Macaca mulatta: one gene and its partners. The protein of the gene in region 5 interacts with the protein of the main gene of each other region in a pairwise test. Links are inferred from orthologs where the notes say so. Each region holds a gene or a part of one and is shown on either strand. Other genes may lie near its edges.

Region 1 (4,845 bases), on a different chromosome or scaffold from region 5:
TCTCAAAATAAATTAATTAAATAAAATATTAGACACTGGCCACATGCGGTGACTCACGCCTGTAATCCCAACATTTTGGGAGACTGATGCGGGTGGATCGCTTGAGCCCAGGCGTTCCAAGACCAGCCTGGGCAACAAGGCGACAAGGTGAAACCACGTCTCTACAAAAATATATATATAATACATATCATATAATATCATATGTATATATTACATAATATATATGTTATATTATATATTACATTATATATTATGTAATATATATAATACAAATATATATAAAATATTAGACATCCCGATTATACTACTCATTTTCTTTCGCTAGGAGGCGTGTGTGTGTGTGTGTGTGTGTGTGTGTGTGTGTGTGGTGGGGGGGTGCTGTTTCTCAAAAGCATATTTCAAAAATTGGAGGCCAAGTAAACTTCTGGTCACATTTTTGAGGGTTTGTTTTTTCCCAGCAATGAACGCTCTAGTTCAAATATACTTCGTAAATTTTGAACAGATAATAAAAAGTTGATTGTAAAACTCTACATTTAAAAAGAGCTTTAAAAACACATTTTCATTTTTTAAAAAATCAAACATCTTGCAGCAGAAATTAGACACAATCAAGGGAAAACTACCAGCGTCCTACCAGTCACAACCCTAGAGAAAATGCCACAGGTCGTCCAAAAAACGCATTCATTTGAGCCAACAGCTCTTTCCTCCCGCCAAAGCTATCCCTCGAACGTCAGAAGCTGACCCAAGGAGTGATTGATGATTTCTCCTTTTTGATTCCCCCTCACCCCCGCCACTCCCAATCCACCTGCTTTAAGGTGTCAACGCGACTACAAACGGTTAACAGTGACCAGCAGCAGAGAGAAACAAACGTCCCTGACAACCCACAGCTGAGTAAGCAAGAGCTGTTTATTCACCAACGTGTTCCATTTGGAGACTGTCGGCGAGCCCTGGAAAGCCCAAGCACATTAAGGTTCCTGGAGAGGGAGAGAATCATCTTTCCTTCCCCCCACTCCCCAGCCCCAAACACACACTGAGAGACTCGGGTGGAAGCCGTCTGGTCCAGGCAGTCCCGACTTGCCCGCCCCCTCAAGAAAAACCTCACGCACCAAAGCAGCCGACCCCTTGCGGGGGTGGTGTAATTCCCCCAAAATGGGCTCTGCCGCAGGAGAGGCTGGCTGCAGCGCCGGGGGCTTCGGAAGGAGTTACTGCCACCCCCAATGCCGCCACTGCCCGCCCTGACGCCACGGCCGGGGCTGGGGACCCTGATGAGAAATGGCCCTTCAGCCCCCTCCCCTCACCTGGCTCGGTCCCACCTGAGGGCTAGAGCGGAGGCAAAAAGAAACAGGCAGGGAGGGCTGACCTTGTTGCTACTGACAGTGGAGCGGCGCATCCTGCTGCTTCCTGGAAAGCGGCCCGAAAGACATTTTTTGCCCCTGGAGGAAGGAAACGGGAGGGCGCCGGCCGGACGGCGGCGGGCGCGGAGGCGTTGGTCCGGGCAGGCTGTGCAGCCTCTAAGCAGGGACGGTCCGAGGACTACATCTCCCAGGCTGCTTTGGGCCGCCCTGCGTCGTAACCCCGGCGCGCACGGAGGCGGTGACTCTTACCTCACAAAGGTAGCTCCTCCGCCGGCAGCAACTCGGCGCCCGCGGTCCATGGACCGGAACCTCGGGCCGACGGACAGGAACCCGGGCCGCGATCGCCGCCTCCCCGCCTCAGGCTCCTCCTCCTCGTTCTCCGCCGCCTCCACCGGACGCCCGCAGGCCCCGCACCGCCGCCGCCCGGCTAGCGCAGCTGCCCCGGGAAGCTGGGTGACTGGTTCGCGGCTGCCGCCGGACTGCGGCCTACTCCGCTGTCTCTCAGTGCTATTGTCCCTGGGCCTGGCCTTGAGCGGGTCCACTGGGGAGGGCCGAGTGCGCCGGCTCCGCGGAAGATGCCGGACCAAGCCTTACAGCAGATGCTGGACAGGTACGGGCAGCTGTTGGGGGGGGACCGGGAGCCGCCGACCCTCGCTCTGGCCCTGCCCGCGCCCGCCCTCGAGGCTCTTGGTGAGCAGAACTCGGCGTGCCGGGAGGAGTTCCACGGCCGGGGGGCCGTGAGAGGGGCAGAAAGTTTGGAGTCTAGACTTGGGGAGGACAGAACGAGCGGCCTGGGTCGTAGACTTTGGGTGAAACTTAGCTAAGGAGTGGCGTCTGGTTTCTTTGGAACCCCGTTTTGACGTGAGAGGGACCCATGTTAATCCACAAAATTAGTTTTCCTTACCCTCCTCGCCTCCCCCTTCCTCCCTCCCCAACTTGTAAAGTGTCAGCGATGTCACTGGCAAGAAGAACCGGGTTATCTTTCAGGAGAATGACCCCCTTACAATTTTAAGTCTCTGTCTGAGAACCAATGATAAACATTCTTTTAGAAAGCCTGATAGGCTGATTTCGTTCTCTCCCCTTTCCCTGAGCCCGCACCACCCTCCCCCCGCCCCATCCCGTCCCCACCTCCGAACTGTAAGGTCAGAGTATCCGCAAGGGAGCTTTAACGGTCAGACCAAAGTAGAGGTTATGGAAAACAGCCAAATGAGTCCAATGCTGAACACTTAGTGTACTTGGCGATCGTTGGGTTCATTGAAAACGTTTCAGCTCGTACAGGAGTCCAGTTGCCCATTCTTGGGGGGCCCCAGTCTGTAAAACTCTTTGTGAAGTCGGGTGCACCGCCCTCTGCTGTTGAAATTCTAGTCCGTGGGTTCTACCATGAGTTTTGGGAGACTCTAGATCCACATTTCCCCCCAGCTGAGTCTTACTTTCTGGCATAGCAAGTTGTACAAGCTAATTCATAATGTTTGTGGTTGCTTACAATTCTCAGCAGACATCACTTGCCACCCATTTCAGCAGGTGGTACCAACTCTTTGTACTCAGTAAAATTCCAACTGTAAGGTGTTAAATGAAGGCCCTCCCTTGAGTTTATACCCAGTTAAATGCTGTTTGGGTCTGCCACACCCAGAACACAAGTGACCCAAGTGTACACATCCTTCCAGAGTGACAGACATTTTCTTGGAGCTTAGAATTTTGAGCCATCTCAGTTGATAGAAATTATGTCACTAATTTTTTTCAGTTGAGGTAACTGGTGATTCATCCAGCCCTTGTTTCAGGTCAACATTCTGACAATTGTATTGACCACCCTTTTATGTATGTGTGTGGTTTATAAGCTCTTGGAAGGCAGAAACTTACTCACTATTTATCTTGAATCCCAGAACAGAGCCTGGTACTCAGTAGGTAATCAGTAAGTATTTGCTGTATGAACTGACGCACAAAGTTATTTGTCAGTTTCCCCAGTTGTCTAGGGGTCTGATAATTTACCAGGTTTTCCTTTCATTGTAAATTGGCAAATTAAAATATGCCCAGAGGAGACCACCTGCCACTGCCAGTTCTGTTCTGTTGAAACCCTGTTTTGATGCAGGGTATTTTGTAATTAATTTTTTCCTCTGAGGGCCTCCTTTCATTTTTACATAGTGACTTTTTTTCTTCTTTTTTTGAGACAGGGTCTCTGTTGCCCAGACTGGAATGCAGTGGCAGTGGCAGTGGTCTGATCTCAGCTCACTGCAACCCCTGCCTCCCGGGCTCAGGTGATCCTCCTACCTCAGCCTCCCTAGTAGCTGGGACCACAGCACATACCACCATACCCAGCTAATTTTTTGTATTTTTATAGAGCCGGAGTTTTGCCATGTAGCCCCTGCTGGTCTCAAACTCCTGGGCTCAAGTGATCCAAGTGATCCTCCCGCCTAGCCTCCCAAAGTGCTGTGTCGTCAAGCATGAGCTATCGCGCCCGGCCTAGAAAAGTTCTTATGTCCAAAAGCTGACCTGGCTTTTCATATGCTCTTTGGAGATTTCCATAAAAGTAAGAAGCCAAAGAATGAGGCTGGGCACAGTGGCTTACCCCTGCAATCCCAGCACTTTGGGAAGCCAAGGCGGGCAGATTACTTGAGGTCAGGCGTTCGAGACCAGCCTAGCCAACATGGTGAAAACCCTGTCTCTACGGGAAAAAAAAAAAAAAATTAGGCAGGCATGGTGGCATGGGCCTGTAGTTCCAACAGGAGGCTGAGGCATGAGAATTGCTTGAACCTGGGAGACGGAGGTTGCAGTGAGCCGAGATTGCACCATTGCACTCCAGCCTGGGTGACAGAGCAAAACTCCATCTCAAAAAAAAAAAAGCTAGTGAGGCATTTAAACCTCAACAGAAATGTGAAGATTCTGGCTGCCATTTACTGAAATAGGTGACTATGACACTGGCTTACTTTCATCTTTGTACTCTTTTGACATATCTTAAAGTAGATTTTTAACATGACTTTCAAAGACCTTTATTGTCTAGATTAGTAGTTGGCAACCTGTTTCCATGTTAGAATTACCTGGGGAACATTTCAAAATATGCATGGATGCTGGATCCTGTCTAAGACCAGTAAGATCAAAAATTTCTGTAGGGTAGAGCTTGGGCATCTATATTTTAAAACTTTTTAAATGTTTCAGATATGGCTGAAACCTACTGCCCTAAGTCCTAAGGCAGTGATATCTTTCAAGATAAGAGATAATAAGGCATAGTGATTAAAGCTTGGGCTCAGAGATAGAAAGCATGAAATTCAAATTTTGCCACTTACTAGCTATGTGACTTTGAATTTAGATTCTGACACTATGTATATGATCATTTATAAAATGGGAACCCTACTTCACAGGGCTACAGCAAATGAAAACATACATCTCTGTAAAACAACAAAACACTCTGTGTTAGCCCAATAGAAGGCACTTAAGACTAATGTAAACCCGTTTGGCCGTTTTTCCCCCATCTACTTTATGTTTAAAGTTTTCTTCATCT
Region 2 (4,830 bases), on a different chromosome or scaffold from region 5:
AATAAAACAGCTTTATCAGACGAAATAGGACTATACCATGAGACTGTAACATAAAGTCAGAAGCATGAGTCCAGGCACCCGGTTAACAAGCCACTGAGATAGCTGTTTAAATGATTCCATTAATATTAGTTAACTTGCTATTTGTGCAATTGTTTTGTTGATTATTAGCTCTCACTAGCAGATAATCCAAGTGGGTACAAAGGTTACATAAAGTTTAGAGGGAGAAGAAGATCCTTAAAAATGAGAAAATGTCTACAAATGACCCATCCTAATTTGTTTGTTTGAGGCAGAGTCTCGCTCTGTCGCCCAGGGTGGAGTGCAGTGGCACCATCTTGGTTCACTGCAATCTCTGCCTTCCGGGTTCAAGCAATTCACCTGCCTCAGCCTCCCGCCACCACGCCTAGCTAATCTCATTTGGTTTCTGTTGGCAGGAGTCCATGGTCCAGTTTATGGGCAGCTAAGATTCACAAGATTCAGCGTTTGAGAATCAGTAGTACCAGAAACTAGTGATTGCCTTGCCTTTGGCTGTCAATGGTTAGTTTTCCTGCTCCAGCCCTCTCTTCTGCAATTACAAAGGCAATTTGCCACCCACTTCGACTGATGGGGTCAGCATTTCATCTTGTAACTCTATTAGTGAAACATTTTGGATGACCGCCTGAATCAGAGGCCCCGGGGAATCAGTGCCAGGACAAACCAGGTGCCTGCTCTCATTGAGCTTGTACTCTAGTTCGGAAGGCAAACACCAAACTATTTTTTAAAAGATAATTATACTTTTTGAAAAGCTTTGGGAAGGAAATAAACAGGGTGAGTGAGGGAGAGAAACTGGCAGGAGGAAGTGATGACTAGATTATAGGGTCGGGGAAAGCCTGTCTTCAGAAGAGACATTTGTTTTGCGTCCTGAAAGCGTTCTTCATTAACTAATGTTGAAGCAATTGATTAGCTAACTAGAAAAGAGAAATAAAACTATTTTAGGTCCTCATCTCACTCCACATACCGAAATAAATTTCACGTGGATCCAAGAGTGAAAGGTAAAACCATAAAAAGAATCAAAGATCTGGAAAAAAGGATATATTTGATTTATGAGTGAAAAATAAAATTTGGAACTTAAGAGCAAATGGAAACTACAAAGAAAGAATTGCACAGGTTTAACTATTCTAAAATCTAGATTTCTCTTCACCAAAAACAACATAAATATAATTAAAAATCAATGAGCATATGGAAAATACCTATCACAACTATGAAATGACTAATGTACTTAACGTTTAAAATGTTTATGCAAACTGTGAAAAAACATTAAACCTCATTAAAAATGGACAAATATGAAGAGATAATTCACAAAGAATGCAAAGTAGTTAACTAACATGAAAAAAAAATTCTGTAACTTTTTTAAAGATACGCCAAATAAAGTAACCTGAGTTTCCCTGTCAACACTGTAGGTAAAAACACTTGATGATACCAAAAGTCTACGGTAAAACTGGCATTCTCACACAGTGATGGTGGATGTGAACATCTGTACAAACTTTCAGGGAGGCAGATTGGCAATACACATTAAAAACCCTAAAAACAGTCATATCTCTTTGGCCCACTTTTATAAATCTATCCTAAGATAGCAATCAGAAATCCAGTCGATAATTTATACATAGGAATGTTCAGCACAGCATTAGTTTTGGCACAAAATGGGAAGCGGCTTGAAAGTCCAATATTAGAAGTCAACTATGACGTATCAAGGATAAAATACTATGCATCTTTTAGAAAAAGCAGGTATAAAATCACTCTACATAGTGTGCCTACATCCATATAAAGAGGCATAGGAGAAAGAGACTAAAGAAGTATTTGAAAATGTTAATGTTAGCTGTGGTAGCTCTGGGTAGTCACATTACAGGCAATTGTTCTTCTCTATTTGCATTAAAATATTTTTAGAATTATGGGCTACATTTATAAAAAAATAAATTTATAAAACAGACAATCAAAGCAACCTTAGTAATTAGATAAAGCAGGGACTAAGCTGGAAAGAAAGTTGAGAAAGGGGAATATGTGCAAGATTGAAAAAATATCTCATGGTCCGAGTCTCAGACCTGAGATTTTGGGGAAGGTGGTATGGGAAGTTGATATTGAAAAATGCTCTTCAGTTATTATGAGGGAAGAAAAGAAGGAAATATGTATCTTTTCCCTCTTCCAAAGGAGCCTTTGATTTTATAGGCAAAGAAGCATAGTGGAAGTTATTAGCGAAACTAAGCCCACATTTTAAAAAAATCTCTTAAAATATGCACCAAGAGAACTAAAATACCACCATAGATTTCCAGTGGGGCATGAGAAGCAATCTGGTCTAATAACTAATATAAGATCTAAACATCTCTTAGGTCCTAATCTTTGAGGCAAGAACACAAGTTTTTCTGTTGATATGAATTTTCGGTGTGTATTTTAAAGTTTTATGATGTGTTCATAACTACCTTTGAATAGTGGTTTAGTTAGTGGTGGTCGGTGACCTGCTTTTGTTTGCCTGTTTCTGATGAACAGTGTGTCGCACCAGCCACAGCTGTGTCCTTGTACACACTGCGTGCAAGACTCTGCTGTGCGTAGTCAGCCCTGCATCATTTCTAACCAGTTACACTGGCCTTACTTTCATCATCTTTGAGGCCAGAGCTACACATGTTGATGCTGCAGAGTGGAAGGAAGGAGAGCAGAGAGTAAAGGGGGTAGATTATGTAGATTATACAGACGTGAGGGAGGGAAGGTCAGAGATACGGAACAACCAGTGAGTTCCCCTGTGCGGATTGCCAGAACGTGAAATATCTGAGAAGAAAACAAAATTGTCTTACAAGGTAGTGGACGTCTGGGTAAGCTGTGATGCTTGCAGGATCAGTACTTACAGAAAGCAGGTGAAGAGCCCATAGGAACAATGAAAAGGAGAAGCAGGAAATTAGGGTTGGTTATTTGAATCTTCCTTCTCGCTGGCTTTCTAATGTCAGACTCCAGAAAGGAGGAGTGGAAGGGAAATGGCAGGAGGATGCAGTCCTGAGCTGGTGCCCTCTCGCATTCACAGTTGTGCCTAGTAAACAGCTCTCTGAACTTTGGTACATTTGTTCTGACTGATGTCACTATCAGCTGATTTCACTTTCGTTTCTTAACTTGTCAGTGACCCATGACTTTTCAGAAATGAGGTATGTAAACAACTTTTTACTGTGCTTCATGACATACTCTTTACTCACACTGTAGCTGGCAAACCAACTGATTTAAAGAGCCAGGAAATGTCTTGATTATATCACACAATAATTCCAGAAAGGGAAGTAGCCGAAGAACTCTCGAAGCTCCCAGTGATTTAAACTGCAAGATAAACACAACCTGGATTTTTATTCAGAAGAAACCCCTCAGGATCATCTGGTCCAAGCTCTCAGCCAATGTGGCAGTCAGGACCCAGGTCACCTCCTACTTATTCTCTTGGGAAGCAGCTATGCCGTCTGTCCCCCCATCCCCTTTCAGAGATCAGTTTTGTAATGATGACTGGGCTTCTCTGGACACAAAATTTTGTGTCCTGAGCATTCTTACTAGGGTATTTAGGCCCATGTTGGAGCAGCTGGAACATCTATTTTATTTCAAAATAAGAGCAGAACAAAGCTTTTATTTTTGTAAGCATTGGGGCTTTTGGCCAGAGTTTAAAAATTGCTTCCGTTGCTCACATGACCAACTGGAAATTTCAACTGTGGGTTAAACTTGGTTACATGAGTCCGCTACCTAGTGCTATTGCTGAATCCTTCAGCGTTTCTCTTCTGCTTCCCTGCCCTTCCTCCAAAGGAGGAGTTCTTTGAACTGCTACATTGCCCTCCCCCTGCCCCTAGTTCTTTTAAACTCAAACTCTAGAAAGAGGTGATGGGATCCAGGTGGAAAGAAGAACAGAGGCTTTGAGATCAGAGAGTTCTGCTACATACTAGCAAATTATTTAATCTCTTTGAGCATCAACTTCTTATCTGTAAAATGGAAACAGTACCTACTTTGCATGGTTGCTCTGGGGACTGGAAATAATATAAGCGCTTAGTACAATACTGGGAACATAGTAGTGGTAGCTATTATTATGAAAAATGGAATTTCTGTATATTTAGTCTAGCCTTTAAGACAGAGAAAATTAACTTTTAGATACCAATATAAAGTAGTTACTCTGAAAACTCAATACTGATGAGTGAAGTAATATAGAAGAGATAGAAACATATTTATATTTATGAAATTTATTTAAGGTTACCATGTACCTAGTTTTCAAAGAGTCAAATAGTTTTTCAAAACTTGTATGAAAATCGGCAGTCCCACACTCTCCCTGTCTTCTTCTTCAGAGGCAAGCACTTTCACCTGTGCTCATTCTTTAGGCATTTACCTCAGTTCTCTAAATAACATGCTTGGATTGATACTTCTTGATTTTTCAGTTTCAGGCATAATCTACTGACTCCCAACCATAGAAGGTGAAGATTTAGCTTTCTTCTTCCCAACTGCGTGTTCCAGAAATATGCTTCCTCTCTTCCTCCTCTATCCAAATTGGTTATAGTTTTGTTTAAATCAATATTCAGTGTTTACAATATTGTAATATGCATAGGTATACTTTATTTTATTGTGCATCTCTTTGTGGATCCTGCATCTTTTACAAATTGAGGATTTGTTGCATCCCTGCATCGAGCAAGACTATTGGCACCATTTTTTCAATAGCCTTTGCTCACTTCATGTCCCAGTGTCACATTTTGGTAACTTTTGCAACATTTCAAACTTTTTCATTATTATTATATTGGTTATGGTGATCTTTGATGTTACTATTGTGATTGTTTTGCGGTGCCACGAACCGCACCCATA
Region 3 (4,819 bases), on a different chromosome or scaffold from region 5:
TGTCTCAAAAAAAAGAAAAAAAAATCACATATTTCCGACTGTCCTCTTTGCAGGATGGAGAAAAAGGCTGGGGAGACAACAAACGTGAATGTAACTATCTTAGCTTTATGTTGCTATAACAGAATAGCTGAGTCTGGGTAATTTATAAAGAAAAGAAATGTATTTCTCAGAGTTCCGGAGGCTGGGAAGCCCAAGGCTGAGGGGCCTGATTCTTTCAAGGGCCTTCTTGCTACCCATGTGTCACCCTATGGCAGAAGGTGGAAGAGCAACAGATCAAGAGAGCAGGCAAGCAGGAGAGGGCTGAACTAACCCACTCTCTCAGCAACCAACCCACTCTCAGGATAACAATCCAATCCCTGAGGATGGAGCCCTCATGGTCTAATCATTTCTTATGGGTCCCACCTCTTAACACGATTAAAATGGCAAATAAATTTCAACATAAGTTTTAGAGGGGACATTCAAACCATAGTAATAATGAATTCAATTTTCTATTTTTCAAGCAATGTTCTTTTGCATTATTTAGCCTTATAGAAATGGGCAATGCAAAAATTAACTCAGTGCCAGGTTGAAAATGCAGTCTACTTTTTTTTTTTTTAGACAGAGTCTTGCTCTGTCATCCAGGTTAGAGTGCAGTGGTGCGATCTTGGCTCACTGCAACCTCCAGCTCCAGGGCGCAAGTGATCCTCCCACTTCAGCCTCCCCAGGAGCTGGGACTACAGGCACGCACCACAATGCCTGGCTAATTTTTGTATTTTTTGTAGAGATGGCGTTTCACCACGTTGCCCAGGCTGTTCTCAAAATCATTCAATACAGCAATACTCCTAACTCAGCTTCCCCAAGTGCTGGGATTACAGGTGTGAGCCACCACGCCTAGCCTGCAGTCTTTTCTTTTCCTTTTTTTTTTTTTTTCTGAGACAGAGTCTTGCTCTGTTGCCCAGACTAGAGTGCAGCGGCAGGATCTCGGCTCACTGCAACCTCTGCCTCCTGGGTTCAAGCAATTCTCCTGCCTCAGCTTCCTGAGTAGCTGGGACTACAGGCAACTGACACCATGCCTGGCTAATTTTTGTATTTTTAGTAGAGATAGGGTTTCACTATGTTGGCCAGGCTGGTCTTGAACTCCTGACCTCAAGTGATCTGCCCGCCTCTGCTTCCCCAAGCACTGGAATTACAGGTGTGAGTCACCGTGCCCTGCCTGCAGTCAACTTTTCAATCACATAAATCAGATCCCACAATGGTTCTGCACAATATATTTTAACTGCATCCCATCATATTTAGAAAAAGGCACAAGTCTTTCACCATGGTCCACAAGGCCCTACATGATCTGGCCCTGCCTACCTCTCTCCTTTGCTCACTTCATCCCAAACACATGGAACTTCCTGCTCTTCGTTGAACACACCAAGCTCATTTCCGCTTAAGGGCATTTGCAGTGCTATTCCCTCCTTCTGACACTCACTTCTCCCAGATTTCTGGTTTACTCCCTCTCTTCATTCAAGTCTCAGTTCAAATGCCATCTCCTCACAGAGGACTTTCACAACCGCCCTATTTAAAACTGAAGTCCCGAGGAAAGCGGATCGCTTGAGGTCAGGAGTTAGAGACCAACCTGGCCAACATGGTGAAACCCCGTCTCTACTAAAAATACAAAAAAAATTAGCCAGGGGTGGTGGCGCAACTGTAATCCCAGTTACTCCAGAGGCTGAGGCAGGAGAATTGCTTCAATCTGGGAAGTGGAGGCTGCAGTGAGCCGAGATCGTACCACTGCACTCCAGACTGGATGACAGAGTAAGACTCTGTCTCAAAAATAATAATAATAATAATAATAATAAAATAAAACTGAAGTCCCATCCCCTATTCCTTTACTCTGATTTATTTTCCTGTATTCTTTAACACTGCCGCTTAATAGTTATATATTGTTTATCACCTACCCACTAGAATGGGGACGTGCATGTCTTTTTCACTGTAATTTGCAATATTCACCAGCACCTAGAACAGTGCCTGGCACACAGCAGCCTCACAATAAATATATATTAAATACATGCATTTCATTCTCACCAGAGTCATTCAATTCCTATGACCTTGAGTAATTCGTTGAGCAAACACTCAAGCTCTGATCCTTAAATAAAAGCAATAAAACAAAGTTTTGTCCTTGCCATCAAGTTCTATATATCCGGAGGCCAAGAACTATATATAGCAGGTCTTCCTATGGATCTAGGGCCAGAAAACTCTAGCTCCTCCAGACAAAACTTGTAGCAACCTGAACCATGAAATGAAGGGGTAGTAAATAGTCTCAGCAGTAAAAACGTTCAAAACAAGACCACATCTAAACGCCACCATACGGTTTTAAAGGCCAGCTCTCTACCCTCCAATAACAGGTATATACCAACGCCCCAAATTATGACTCTTTTGGGTTTTTAACCCTTTTTCTGTGCTACAGATCCTCTGTCAGTCTGGTGAAAACTAGACCTGTCTTGACACTAGTGCTTCTAAATGCATAAAACAAACAAAAACAGCTACGAAAGAAACCCACGCTACATTACAGGACCGCAGATGTAAAAGCCCCTCTGCTCTGTTTGCCGCAGTGGAAAAAAACGAGAAAATGTGGAAGGCCATAGAAGGAACCCAGGGAACTGAACCCCGCGTCCCTGGGCGCGTCCCCAATTCACTCTCAGTGGCAGGGAGACCCGGGGTTGCGACCCAGCCAGCCCTAGGGGGCGTGTCTGAGGACGCGGAGGAAGGAGACGCGGGCCCGGGTCTGGGAGGAAGGTGGGGGAAAATTCCAAAGCGCGCGGGGCCGCGCTCCCCACGGCGTGGCCCACCCGCGCCTCACCGGTCCCAGCAGTCCCCAGCAGCCGCTCGGGCACCCCTTGTAGGTCTTCATGGAGGCCGCGGAAGATCTCGTGCAGCTTCTCGAAATGCTCCGAGGAGGCGGCGGAGGCGGCCATGGCGCAGGACGCGCTCGAGCAGCGGCCACCCAGATTCGGGGCTCTGGGCCCTCTCCTAGCCCGGCGGTCAGCCGCCCAGTCCCGTGGCCATAACGGCGACCGCCGCACCACCGCTGCCCAGGACGAGGCTCTTCCGGGGCCGCAGAAGGGTCCTCCCGAGCCGGAACGCCCACCCTCTCTAGCCCGTGATTGCGGGAGCGCCGGCGCGAAGGCCTGACGGGAAGGCGGCAGACTGCGCGGCCTAGGCGACTCCTGAGGGAGCGAGCGGGGCGAATGGTAGTCGCAGAGCCCGAGAAGTGCCCGGTCCGGGGTGGGGAAAGGCCGCAGAGAAAGGGCCCTAGGGGACCTGCGGGACGGGCAGCTCGGCCGCCTTCCTCCCAGGCCCCGCCGGCCGGCCAGGGGCGGGCGCTGCAGTGCACGCCGGGGGATGTAGTTTGACTCGGAGAGCGTCTGGTGCCGGAGTCGCGCGTTGCCCGGGGTGCCAGGTTTAGCCCGCCAGGCGACAGCGGGCTTCGGCCCGATTTGATGTGTGTTTGCGTCTAGACGTCGTCCTCACTGTCATCGCGCTTTGCTTTGCCACCCTGACCCGAATTCCTCATTTCGCGTCTTGACCGAATGTTAGCTTTAGGCCCTGGAAAGAGCCGGGCCGGGGGCTCTGCCTGCAGTCGGGAGGTGGAGCACTTTTCCTGGAAGGCCCAGCTGCTCCCCAAGCTTTCAGAAGTGGAACTTGGCCGGGCGAGTGGCTCGCGTCTGTAATCCCAGTACTTTGGGAGGCCGAGGTGGGAGGATTGCTTGAACCCAGTAGTTCGAGACCAGCCTGGTCACAATAGCGAGAGCACTACCGGAAACCCAAAATAGGAGCCGGGCAAGGTGGCGCGCACTTCTGGCCCCAGCTACCCCGGAGGCTGAAGCAGGAGGATTACTTGAGTCCACAAGGTTGAGATTGCAGAGTTCCCACCACTGCACTCCAGCTTGGGAGACTTTGCTCCCAAGTGGAGGGTGACCTTGTCTCCAAACAAACCCAAAAAACAAAAATTCAAAAGTGGAACCCAGTTAGGATGACCTCGAAATACTCTAGCTGCTAGGCTGCCTCGTGCACTTGTTCACAACAGGTGTTTGTCAAGCGTAGGCATTGCGAGGGATCTGGGCATGTTGGTGAATAAAACATTTACTCTCTGCTCCGAGGGAATTTATAATCTGGTGTGGAAGGTGGGCCTGGCTTCATTAGGTCTCATCTGCCACTAAGTGTCACTTGTTAACAATTACAAGGTCCTTTCCTGCACTCCATGGGTATAAATGCCGGTCTTCAGGTCGGGCATGGTGGCTCAAGCATCATCCCAGCACTTTGGGAGGCCGACGCGGGCGGATTACTTGAAGTCAGGAGTTCGAGACCAGCCTAGCCAACACGGTGAAACCCCCATCTCTGCTAAAATCACAAAAATTAGCCGAGCGTGGTGGTGGGCGCCTGTAATCCCAGCTACTCGGGAGGCTAAGGCAGGAGAATCACCTGAACCCGGGAGGTAGTGGTTGCAGTGAGCTGAGATCATGCCACTGCACTCCAGCCTGGGTGACAAAGCAAGATCCTATCTCAAAAAAATTAAAATAAATTCTTATTTTCACCGATTTCACGGTTTGCTCAAGGTGTCTGTTCTCAAATGTTTGCTTGGGAGCTCAATTTTAAACTGCCTACAAATATTAAAAGATGTATGAATGCTCAGGAGAAAATGCTTTGCTAATTTATATCTCCTGGGCCCTCATTTTTGTTAGATCAAGTTCATTGGCTGTTGATTCAGCACACTTTGGTTGAGCTCTTAATATGCACTGAGCACAGACGTGACCAAGTCTGAGGTAACTGTCAGTATACTGTGTAAGTCCCACAA
Region 4 (3,830 bases), on a different chromosome or scaffold from region 5:
TGGCTCAGAAGGGAAACGAGGGTCTTGGTTGATACCTCGGGAAGCTTTCTTTTCTTCATAGAATGACTAAGAGGAAATTCTGAGGGGTACCCTCGTTTTCTTTTTTTCTTTTCTTCTTCTTCTTTTTTTTTTTTTTTTTTTTTGAGACGGAGTCTCACTCTGTCACCCAGGCTGGAGTGCAGTGGCATGATCTCAGCTCACTGCAACCTCTGCCTCCTGGGTTCAAGTGATTCTCCTGCCTCAGCCTCCCAAGTAGCTGGGATTACAGGCATGTGCTACCACACCTGGCTAATTTTTGTATTTTCAGTAGAGACGGGGTTTTACCATGTTGGCCAGGCTCATCTGGAACTCCTGATCTCAAGTGATCCACCTGCCTCGGCCTACCAAAGTGCAGAGATTACAGGCGTGAGCCACTGCACCCCACCAGGGTACCCTCATTTTCTATGACATCCAGAAATCGAGGGATTCAGTTTGTGAATTCTTCCTTCCTCTCCTAGTTCCATGTGCAACGCAAAGCCTCTTTAGTGTTCTCTTGCAGAGTCATGCCCAGCCCGTAGGAGACTCTTTGGGTTTGGAGAAGAATCATGGCACCCTCCCCCTGTCATTTTCATCAGTTGTGTCTTCAATCTTTTATTCACCCCTCCACACCCAAAATTCTCTCCTTCTAGAAGCAGAGTTTTCCTTTTCCTTCCTCTTCTCCTCTCCTACTCCCCTACTTTTCCCAGTCCCCCAAACATACCAGGCTCAGAGCTGGATTCATTCAGCATTTATTGTAGCAAAGAGTGGGTAGGGAGAGGAGCTCCAGGCCTGGCCAGTGGGTGTTCTAGAGGCCAGCTGGGGTTGGAAGACAATGGTCTGGACACCTCACTGGGTGGCAGGTTGTGTTCTAAGTTCCACGAAATAGCTCAAGAAGTTAACCAGATCCGTTCCAGCCTTCTTGACCAGAGGTGTCAGCTGCTCCTTTGACTTTTCAAAGTAAGCCCTGGATAGGTGAGGGGATTAGAGTTTAATTTGAGGGACCCTAGGCACTGGCAGGGGCCTCGGTCATGGTGGGAGGTCAGAGCAGACTGACTCAGGTCCCCAAACTCTAGTGCCTGGTCCATCGCATGGCAAAGCCCCTAGGTGGGAGTAGAGCCAAGACCTTTGCTGGGTAGAGGAACAGACCCTAGAGACTGAAATTCAAGGCCCAGTTCTTGCTGTTCCTCTCTATCTAAGAAACGTGTGGGATCTTTGGGCAACGAAGGACTTTTTCTCTCCAATTTAAGCCTAATCTGCCCTAATCCCCACCCCTGGGTTCAGTCTTCTGTGGGGCCTCTCATCTTCCCTTCTTCCTTTCCACAGTTCCACAGCCCCTGAACTCCTTGCCCTTAGACTTACTTGGCCTGGGCCTGAAGCTCTGGGCTCTTGACCTTCTCCATCAGGTCCTTGCCATAGTCAGTCACCGTCTGGAAGTACTGAGAAACCAGGCTCTCCACACTTGGCTCCTCTGCCTGTCTCCGAACCAAAGCTCCTGCACACACACACACACTCTTTTCAGCTGGGTCCACAGCAACGAATCTTGGCCTCTTGCCATACCTCTGCCAGTACCCACCCCAGCTCTCCGCCCCCTCCCCAAAAAGGTGTCCAGTCAGATCTTTGGATGGGCTTTCTGGGCTTTAGATAGGGAATGATCTTCCTTTTGAGCCCTCTAGTTGCCAGACCTGGATATAAGAGCATAGGCAGATAGGTAGCTATAACCACCAGCACATTCTCCCTTTTGGCCCCCTCTCCATATCACACCCACCTTCAAGGCTGCAGATGGTGAGGAGCAGCACAGTTGCTGCGAGCAGCTTCATGTTGGTGACAGTGGGGAAAGCGGCCTAGGAAGAGGGTGGTGGGGGTTGGGGGGGACACTGAAGCCAAATGGGCTTCAGCTCCTCCCCAGAGATCTCCCTACCTGCTGCCCATTTCAACCTGGCTCTCTCCCTCTCCACAACTGAAGCCCAAGCCTCTTTGGATGCTGCTCACACCTCTTGCCTCTTTATCTTACCTAGTCAGCGTCTCTGTCCTTGGCGTCTGTGCCTGCCCTGGCTGGAGAGGTAGGGGCTATATACCTGTCTGTTTACCCACCCCCTGTCAGGTGACAGGAACTATGATGGGTCCAGTGGGACAGGGATTATGTTAGGATAAACAAGTTGGACAGATGGGGGAGGAGAGGACAAGCACATGGAAGACTCATGGTGACGGGGTGAGAGGCAGGGGGTACAGCCCTTAGTGGAGGCTAAGAGGGTACACTTCAGGTATATTTGAGGTTCATTCTTTTGAGATCTGAGGTCCTTGGACTTGAATGCAGCAGGAAGCAGGATTCCAAGTTACTTCTCTGGAAAGCTCTGATATATCAACCCATGGGATACCATCAACCCATCATACCGTGGAAAGCTCATGGTATCTTTATTCCATTGTGGGTAGATCTCATCTCTCAACCTTATCCCACTTTATTGCAATTTGGCAGAGAGATATTGGGGAGCAGAAGAAAGGAGAAAGGAATTGAAATCAGGGACAGGGTTGAGGGCTATGGGGGTTACGAAAATGAGGGTCGGGTAAGAGGCAAGTGTAAATGATTTTGTCCATTTTTGAGTTAATGTGTAATGAGATGGGGAGAAAACAGGAGAGCCCAGAATGACCTGGATGCTGATCAGTGAACATACCCTACCCCCAGTAAAACAAATTCAGAAAACAGCTTCCGCCCATCCCCTCCCAATGGAGGGCTCTGGCAGGAAAAGGGGTGAACAAGAGGCTTCTGCCAGGGTAAAGGTTGAAGGTGCCTGGTCATTTGATCATCTTATCAGTTCTAGGCAGTGATCAGCCAATACTGAGTCAGCAGGGGCAATAGCCCTGGCCCTTGTCTCACTCCTGTTGGGGGTAGGGGAGGGGGATAGGTACATTCTCAGGTTCAAAGCATTTGGGTGAAATCAGTTAAATAGGTATCAGAAGCATTTGTATCTTTCACCCTTTTGCCCCCCCAAGCATACTCCCTGAGTATATGGAACATTCCTGAGAGGTGAGAGTGGAGGCGCAGAGCTAATGAGGGAGGTAGTGACCAAAGACCAAGAAATCTTTGTTTTTTAACTTTTGTTTTAAATTCAGAAGTATATGTGCAGGTTTTTTTGTTTGTTTGTTTTCCTGAGACGGAGTTTTGCTCTTGTTGCTCAGGCTGCAGTGCAATGACATGATCTTGGCTCACTGCGACCTCTGTCTCCTGGGTTCAAGCGATTCTCCTGCCTCAGCCTCCCAAGTAGCTGGGATTACAGGCATACAACACCACGCCTGGGTAATTTTGTACTTTCAGTAGAGACGGGGTTTCTCCATGTTGGTCAGGCTGGTCTTGAACTCCCGACCTCAGGTGATCTGCCCACCTCGGCCTCCCAAAGTGCTAGGATTACAGGCGTGAGCCACCGCACCCAGCCTATATGTGCAGGTTTGTTACATACATAAATTTGTGTCATGCGGATTTGTTGTACAGATTATTTCATCACCCAGGTATTAAGCCTAATATCCATTAGTTATTTTTCCTGATCTTCTCCCTCCTCCCACCCTTCACCCTCCAAGACCAAGAAATCTTACTCCATCTTCAATTATTCCCCTGTGGAGCGCTTAGTGCTTGAGGTCAGCCCTTTGGCTTGCCCCGGTCCTGGGATGGAGTGCATTTGGGGGCCAGGCTCCATATTCCTAGATTTTATTTGCCAACTCTGCCTGGGGACTCAGGGAAGGAAAGGTTAAATACAGAGAGCAGCTCTTTCAGCGAATAGTTCTGCTAGAACTTACTGCTCTGCGCCAAACTCTCACACCCG
Region 5 (4,909 bases):
CTGTACTTTGTTCTGAAGCTCCATATTCTGGGCTGTGTATTTCAAGACCCTGGGGGAAATAACAAAGATATGGGGATATGGCCTGTGTCCTCCCTTCAAAAACCTAACACTTAAAACTGAGTCCCTCTCCCTTTCATACCTGCTCTCTAAACCCCCAACATACACCTTCTTTTTCCTGCGGCTCTCTTGAGCAGATCTTTTATTTCGAATCTTCCTCCGCACACGTTTCAGAATTTGTTCCTCCATCTGAAAGGAAACAAGGAAAGGGGTATCATTAGAGGGACTCTAGAACAAGAAGTTGAAAGGCAACTGAGATCCATCTCTTTCCAATACAGAAATCCCTTCTACAGCTTCCCTGACCAATAGGCATTCACATTCTTTCTGAATGCCTCCACGGACCATGTGTTAACCCTAACAAGCCAGACCATTTTAAACTATTAAAAAAAAAAATTGGTCAGGCAATATTCAAGTGACATGGCTCATGCCTGTAATCCCAACACTTTGGGGAGCTAAGGCAGGAGGACCGCTTGAGCCCAGGAGTTTGAGACCAGCCTGAGCAACACAGTGAGACCTTGTCTCTACTAAAAATAAATTAGCCGGGTGTGGTGGCACATGCCTGTGGTCCCTGCTCCTCAGGAGGCTGAGGAAGGACAATCGCTTGAGCCTGAGAGGTCAAAGCTGTAGTGAGCCATGATCTCACCACTATTCTCCAACCTGGGCAGTAAAGCAAGAATCTGTCTTCAAACAAAAACTTCCTTATCCTGAACCAACAGCTGTCTCCTTATAATTTCTATACGTTGGACTTACCTAGTATCTCTGGGGCCAAATAGAATGAACCCTGTTTAGCTATTTTCAGGCATTTGACATTTCCTCAGAGAAAAAAAGTTCAAGAAAAAAACAGCTTAGACAAAAATTTTAACTCATCTTCTTAGGATAGACTGCATCTTCTTAGTATCTGTCAAAGATGTGCTCTAGCCAGTATAAAGGAAAGCAAGATAGTGACTTGTGGAGACAATAACTCTTGCTACAGTTTCCAAATCCCATTAACTTTCCTAGTAGCCACATCGCACTGCTGACTCATCTTGTACTTTGAAGGAATTAAAATTCTTTACTTTTGGAGGCCAAGGTGGGTAGATCACTTGAGCACAGGCGTTCAAGACCAGCCTGGCAACAAGGCAAAACCCCATCTCTACTAAAAACACCAAAAAAAAAATTTGCCAGGCAGGGTGGTGTGCACCTGTAGTCTCAGCTACTCAGGAGGCTGAGGTGGGAGAATCACCTAAGCCCAGAAATTCAAGGCTGCAGTGTGCCATGATCACATCACTGCACTCCAGCCTGTGCAACAGAACAAGACCTTGTCAAAAAAAAAAAAAAATTCCTGGAACTTTTCTATTAATGAGCACTGATTTCATCATAGTATCCCAGTACTCTGCTTGTGAAGTTGCCACTGATTGCTTAAAACTGGAAACTAAGGATTTTGCATTTATTCATGTACTGCTTAGTCCAATCGTGTTGAACTCTCTAAACAGTTCTACCATTCAGCAAGAGGTGGATTACTATGAAGCCAATGAAGTGTCAAGGCCCTTCACTTACACAGTCCTTTCCAAGGCCCAATACTAATGTTGCACTGATAATTTTGAGGGTTTTTTTTGTTTGTTTTTTAACAGAACACCAAAATTTGTGTAAGCCCAACGAAAATGAGGATCTGCCTTGCATCTAGCATATTGGGTACCTGCCTCAACTTCCTATTAGCAATAAATCTGCTAAGTTTCTCACCTCAATCCTTTTTTAAAGTTATTGATATAAAGTTAACAGAATTGGCCTACTTGAGACTTTTAATCCCTTTTCAGCCTTTGCTCAACTAACGAGAGTCTTACCTTAGTGAGAGGAAGTGTCTCAGGCAGAATAAGCCCCTCCTTCTCCAATAGACTCTTCTCCTCATCTGTCAGTACCAGCCTAACAATATCCTAGGGTAACCAGAAAGTGGGCGGCAGTTGCATGGGGATGTCACAGAGGAATGGGGAATCCTGCCCCCACCTGAGGAATGTGAGAGTAATCATCCTGAAAATCAAGTCAAGTACCTGCTCTGCCAGCTCCTCCATATGCTGTGGAGTCATCTGGGTCCCCTCTTTTCTACAGCTCTCACTCTCTGCAAAAGGGAACGTATGAATAGCCAGGCCCATGAACCCTGTCCTCCCCCCAAACTTATTTCAGACTCACCTAGATCCATAGAGACAGGTTCTCGTGGGAGGGAGTAGGTGTGGTCATGGTGGACAAGGCAGGGGTTGGAGTTGCTGAGAACGTTCAACGACGACGCTGGGGGACTCAGCAGGGAGCTCAGCAAATCATCTACCTCCCAGTCGCTCGGTACCTGCGCAGGGTTCCAGTGAACAGGCCTTGACCTATCACCATCCCCTGACCTCATGGACATCCCACGCTTTCCCCAGTCAGAACCCCAACGCACCTCAGAAAGCGGCAGCTCCCAGTCCAGTGGGGCCCTCACGGACTCATCGGGCGCCGTCCTCAAATCTCCACTTTCCTCTAGCAGGAAGCCCAGTAGGTCTTGGTCACCAGCGTCCAATTCCAGCTCCATTTGGGACAACTACGGAAAGGGTGGGCTACCGGGCCCCAACGTCCGAAGCCCAGACACGAGCCCCAGGCCAGCTGTAGGCCTCGGGCACCTATCCACTGTCCCTCTACGGCCGGGCTTCCCGGCCGGGGGCTTTCCGTAGCCCTCTCCGGACCCGCCTCCCAGGCTCAATTCTCCTCAGCCTCCAACGCAGCGAAAGTGACGCACCCCACCCCGTGGCACTGTGGGACTTGGAGTTCCCTCCAACTGAGAAGAGGCCTGGGTGCCGCGCCACGTCCCAGGGGCTATGCAAATGTAGGGGACGGCCCTGCTGCCGCCTCGCACCCCGAGGGCGGGGGTTCCGGGGCTCCGGCTCCGCCTTCTCCCCCAAGCTAGAAAAAGGAAGAGTTCTGGCCTGAAAGGGAACTCGGGCGTCGTCTTGGCGTTCTCTCCGGATTGCGCCGCACCCTCGCTTCCTGCCAGGGAGGGGCTGCCGGCCTTTGGCGGCCCCCGAGCATCGAGAACGCGGCCAGAGCAGCTTCCTGCCTGCCCCCCGCGACCATAGAGCGCTGCCCCAGGGCGCCGCCCGCGGGTGGGGGACGTTCCCAGGACGGAAGTGGCCGAGAGAGTGTCGAAGGGAGGGCGAGGCCGGAGCCCGAGGGCGACCCGAGAAGCGGCAGGGCAGCGGGCCGGCGGGCCGGCAGGCGGGGCGCAGAGCCGGGCAGCGCAGGTAGGCCAGACCGGGCCGGGCGGGGGCCTTAGGGTGGGGCCGCGGAGCCTGGCCCCGGGGGCGGGCGGGGCCCTGCCTCTCCTGCGTGTCCGGTTCGGGTCCTGTTAGTTGGAGAGGTCAGCGTCCAGCGCATCTCAACTTGGGCTCATCGTGAAGTAGGCCGTCTTAGGGGAGACAGGCCTCTCCTGGGGGCAGTCCTCTGCCTGGGATAGGCTTTGGGGAGCGTGAGGAGTCGGGTAGCAGCGGGGCGCAGGACGGGGACGGGCTTTGGTGTTAGCTGATAGCGGCCATGTGGGTAGGAAAGCTTTGGGTGAGTTGGGGATTAGGTGGGGTCCGTTTAGGAATCAAGGGTCGCTATAGGAGTTAAAAGCTGGGGTTAAAACTTAAGAGTTAGTAGTGTGAGTCAGGTCCGTTTTAGGTAGGTAAGGTTTAGATTAAGGTCATTATTTTGTTTGCTGGGATGGCCATCATACGTCATAATTTGAGTTCAGGGTCGGGTTAAGGGTCAACAACAGGAATCAGGTTAGAGCCTGTTTGAGGGATTAAAGAATGTTGACATGGTCGGTATTAAGGATAAACAGTGAAAGCGTGAGTTAGGAATCAAGTTACAAATGAACTTTAGGCTTAGGGGTCAACATTTAGGGTTAACATCAGGCGATTTGGTGCTAAAGGTAAAACTTAGATCAGTATCAGGGATCAGGGATTGGATATGAGTCTCTGCTGGGAAAGGGATGAATGTCCAAGCCGGTAGTGGGAATCAGGAAACAAATTAGAGGTGGGGTTAATGTTAGGAATTTGGGGCAACTTTAGGGGTTGTAATTGAGGCTAGCATAGTTGGCCTTGAGCAGATGAAATTTAAGAGGTTGGCAGTAGGTAAATGCCCTTCTTTTGTAGGGAAGTCCTTTATTCCTGTGTAGTTACAGGGGCTTCTTTTCACCCAGAGAGATAACAAACTAATTTCAGGCTAGTGTTCTGGCTTATTGCAGGCATCTGGGATTCCAGCATCTTTATTCCATTCTCTAAGCCTAAGGCCCTTGCTGTGGCCACCACAGTTAGGGGACAGAGATTCTGGACTATGTTGTTTACATACAACATAGGTGGGAAATAGGGACCCAGGATGTACAAGGCCTAGTCACAAGTTGGAGACTGCCTAGGGAAGAAGGAGCTGTTGACTATGGGGGAAGCTGACCAAGGAATCACTGTTGCCACGGGAGAAGGAAATAACTGAATCCCCTGAAAGTTTAGCTTTGCTGTCTCCCACTTCACTTGTTCTCTAGGTATTAAGGCCTCCTCTCCAACTCTCATCCCTGACTCTGCATTTCACATCCATCCTGACTATCCCCTTACAAAATACTTCCCTTGCCTTTAACTGTCCCATGCTCATCTTATCATCCGTTCCCATCCTCAGTTCTACCTCCCTCACCAACCCTTAATCCGCACATCCTACCTGAATTTAGCCTCATCATAACCTGAGCTTTCCCATCATTTTAAATTACTCTCCTACCATTTTCACCCAGTCATGTACCTACATTCCACCTGGTCATCAGCTGAATACCCTACTCCCAGCCCCTGCTGTGTGCCACCCCCTAGATCTAAGCCTCTTTTAATTT

Evidence for each region. The genes of interacting proteins can lie anywhere in the genome.
Region 1: the proteins of CREB3 (region 5) and MARCHF5 interact in a two-hybrid assay, tested with the Homo sapiens proteins (2 studies listed by BioGRID and IntAct). The two-hybrid records come from large-scale screens. The link is inferred for Macaca mulatta from reciprocal best matches to the Homo sapiens genes CREB3 and MARCHF5.
Region 2: the proteins of CREB3 (region 5) and TMEM140 interact in a two-hybrid assay, tested with the Homo sapiens proteins (2 studies listed by BioGRID and IntAct). The two-hybrid records come from large-scale screens. The link is inferred for Macaca mulatta from reciprocal best matches to the Homo sapiens genes CREB3 and TMEM140.
Region 3: the proteins of CREB3 (region 5) and VTI1B interact in a two-hybrid assay, tested with the Homo sapiens proteins (2 studies listed by BioGRID and IntAct). The two-hybrid records come from large-scale screens. The link is inferred for Macaca mulatta from reciprocal best matches to the Homo sapiens genes CREB3 and VTI1B.
Region 4: the proteins of CREB3 (region 5) and APOA2 interact in a two-hybrid assay, tested with the Homo sapiens proteins (3 studies listed by BioGRID and IntAct). The link is inferred for Macaca mulatta from reciprocal best matches to the Homo sapiens genes CREB3 and APOA2.

The regions. Positions count from the first base shown.
Region 1 is NC_133414.1:104,261,573-104,266,417, forward strand, and holds the start of MARCHF5 (E3 ubiquitin-protein ligase MARCHF5), read left to right. Parts: upstream 1-1,794; 5' UTR 1,795-1,927; coding exon 1,928-1,962; intron 1,963-4,845. UniProt on the Homo sapiens protein: Mitochondrial E3 ubiquitin-protein ligase that plays a crucial role in the control of mitochondrial morphology by acting as a positive regulator of mitochondrial fission and as an important regulator of immune response.
Region 2 is NC_133408.1:174,969,743-174,974,572, reverse strand, and holds the start of TMEM140 (transmembrane protein 140), read right to left. Parts: upstream 3,052-4,830; 5' UTR 2,871-3,051; intron 1-2,870.
Region 3 is NC_133412.1:140,848,644-140,853,462, forward strand, and holds the start of VTI1B (vesicle transport through interaction with t-SNAREs homolog 1B), read right to left. Parts: upstream 3,052-4,819; 5' UTR 2,940-3,051; coding exon 2,825-2,939; intron 1-2,824. UniProt on the Homo sapiens protein: V-SNARE that mediates vesicle transport pathways through interactions with t-SNAREs on the target membrane. These interactions are proposed to mediate aspects of the specificity of vesicle trafficking and to promote fusion of the lipid bilayers.
Region 4 is NC_133406.1:105,659,849-105,663,678, reverse strand, and holds APOA2 (apolipoprotein A-II), read right to left. Parts: upstream 2,113-3,830; 5' UTR 2,030-2,112; intron 1,860-2,029; 5' UTR 1,836-1,859; coding exon 1,784-1,835; intron 1,511-1,783; coding exon 1,378-1,510; intron 983-1,377; coding exon 865-982; 3' UTR 752-864; downstream 1-751. UniProt on the Homo sapiens protein: May stabilize HDL (high density lipoprotein) structure by its association with lipids, and affect the HDL metabolism.
Region 5 is NC_133420.1:63,961,759-63,966,667, forward strand, and holds the start of CREB3 (cyclic AMP-responsive element-binding protein 3), read right to left. Parts: upstream 2,974-4,909; 5' UTR 2,594-2,973; coding exon 2,465-2,593; intron 2,372-2,464; coding exon 2,221-2,371; intron 2,150-2,220; coding exon 2,082-2,149; intron 1,968-2,081; coding exon 1,878-1,967; intron 247-1,877; coding exon 140-246; intron 50-139; coding exon 1-49. UniProt on the Homo sapiens protein: Endoplasmic reticulum (ER)-bound sequence-specific transcription factor that directly binds DNA and activates transcription. Plays a role in the unfolded protein response (UPR), promoting cell survival versus ER stress-induced apoptotic cell death.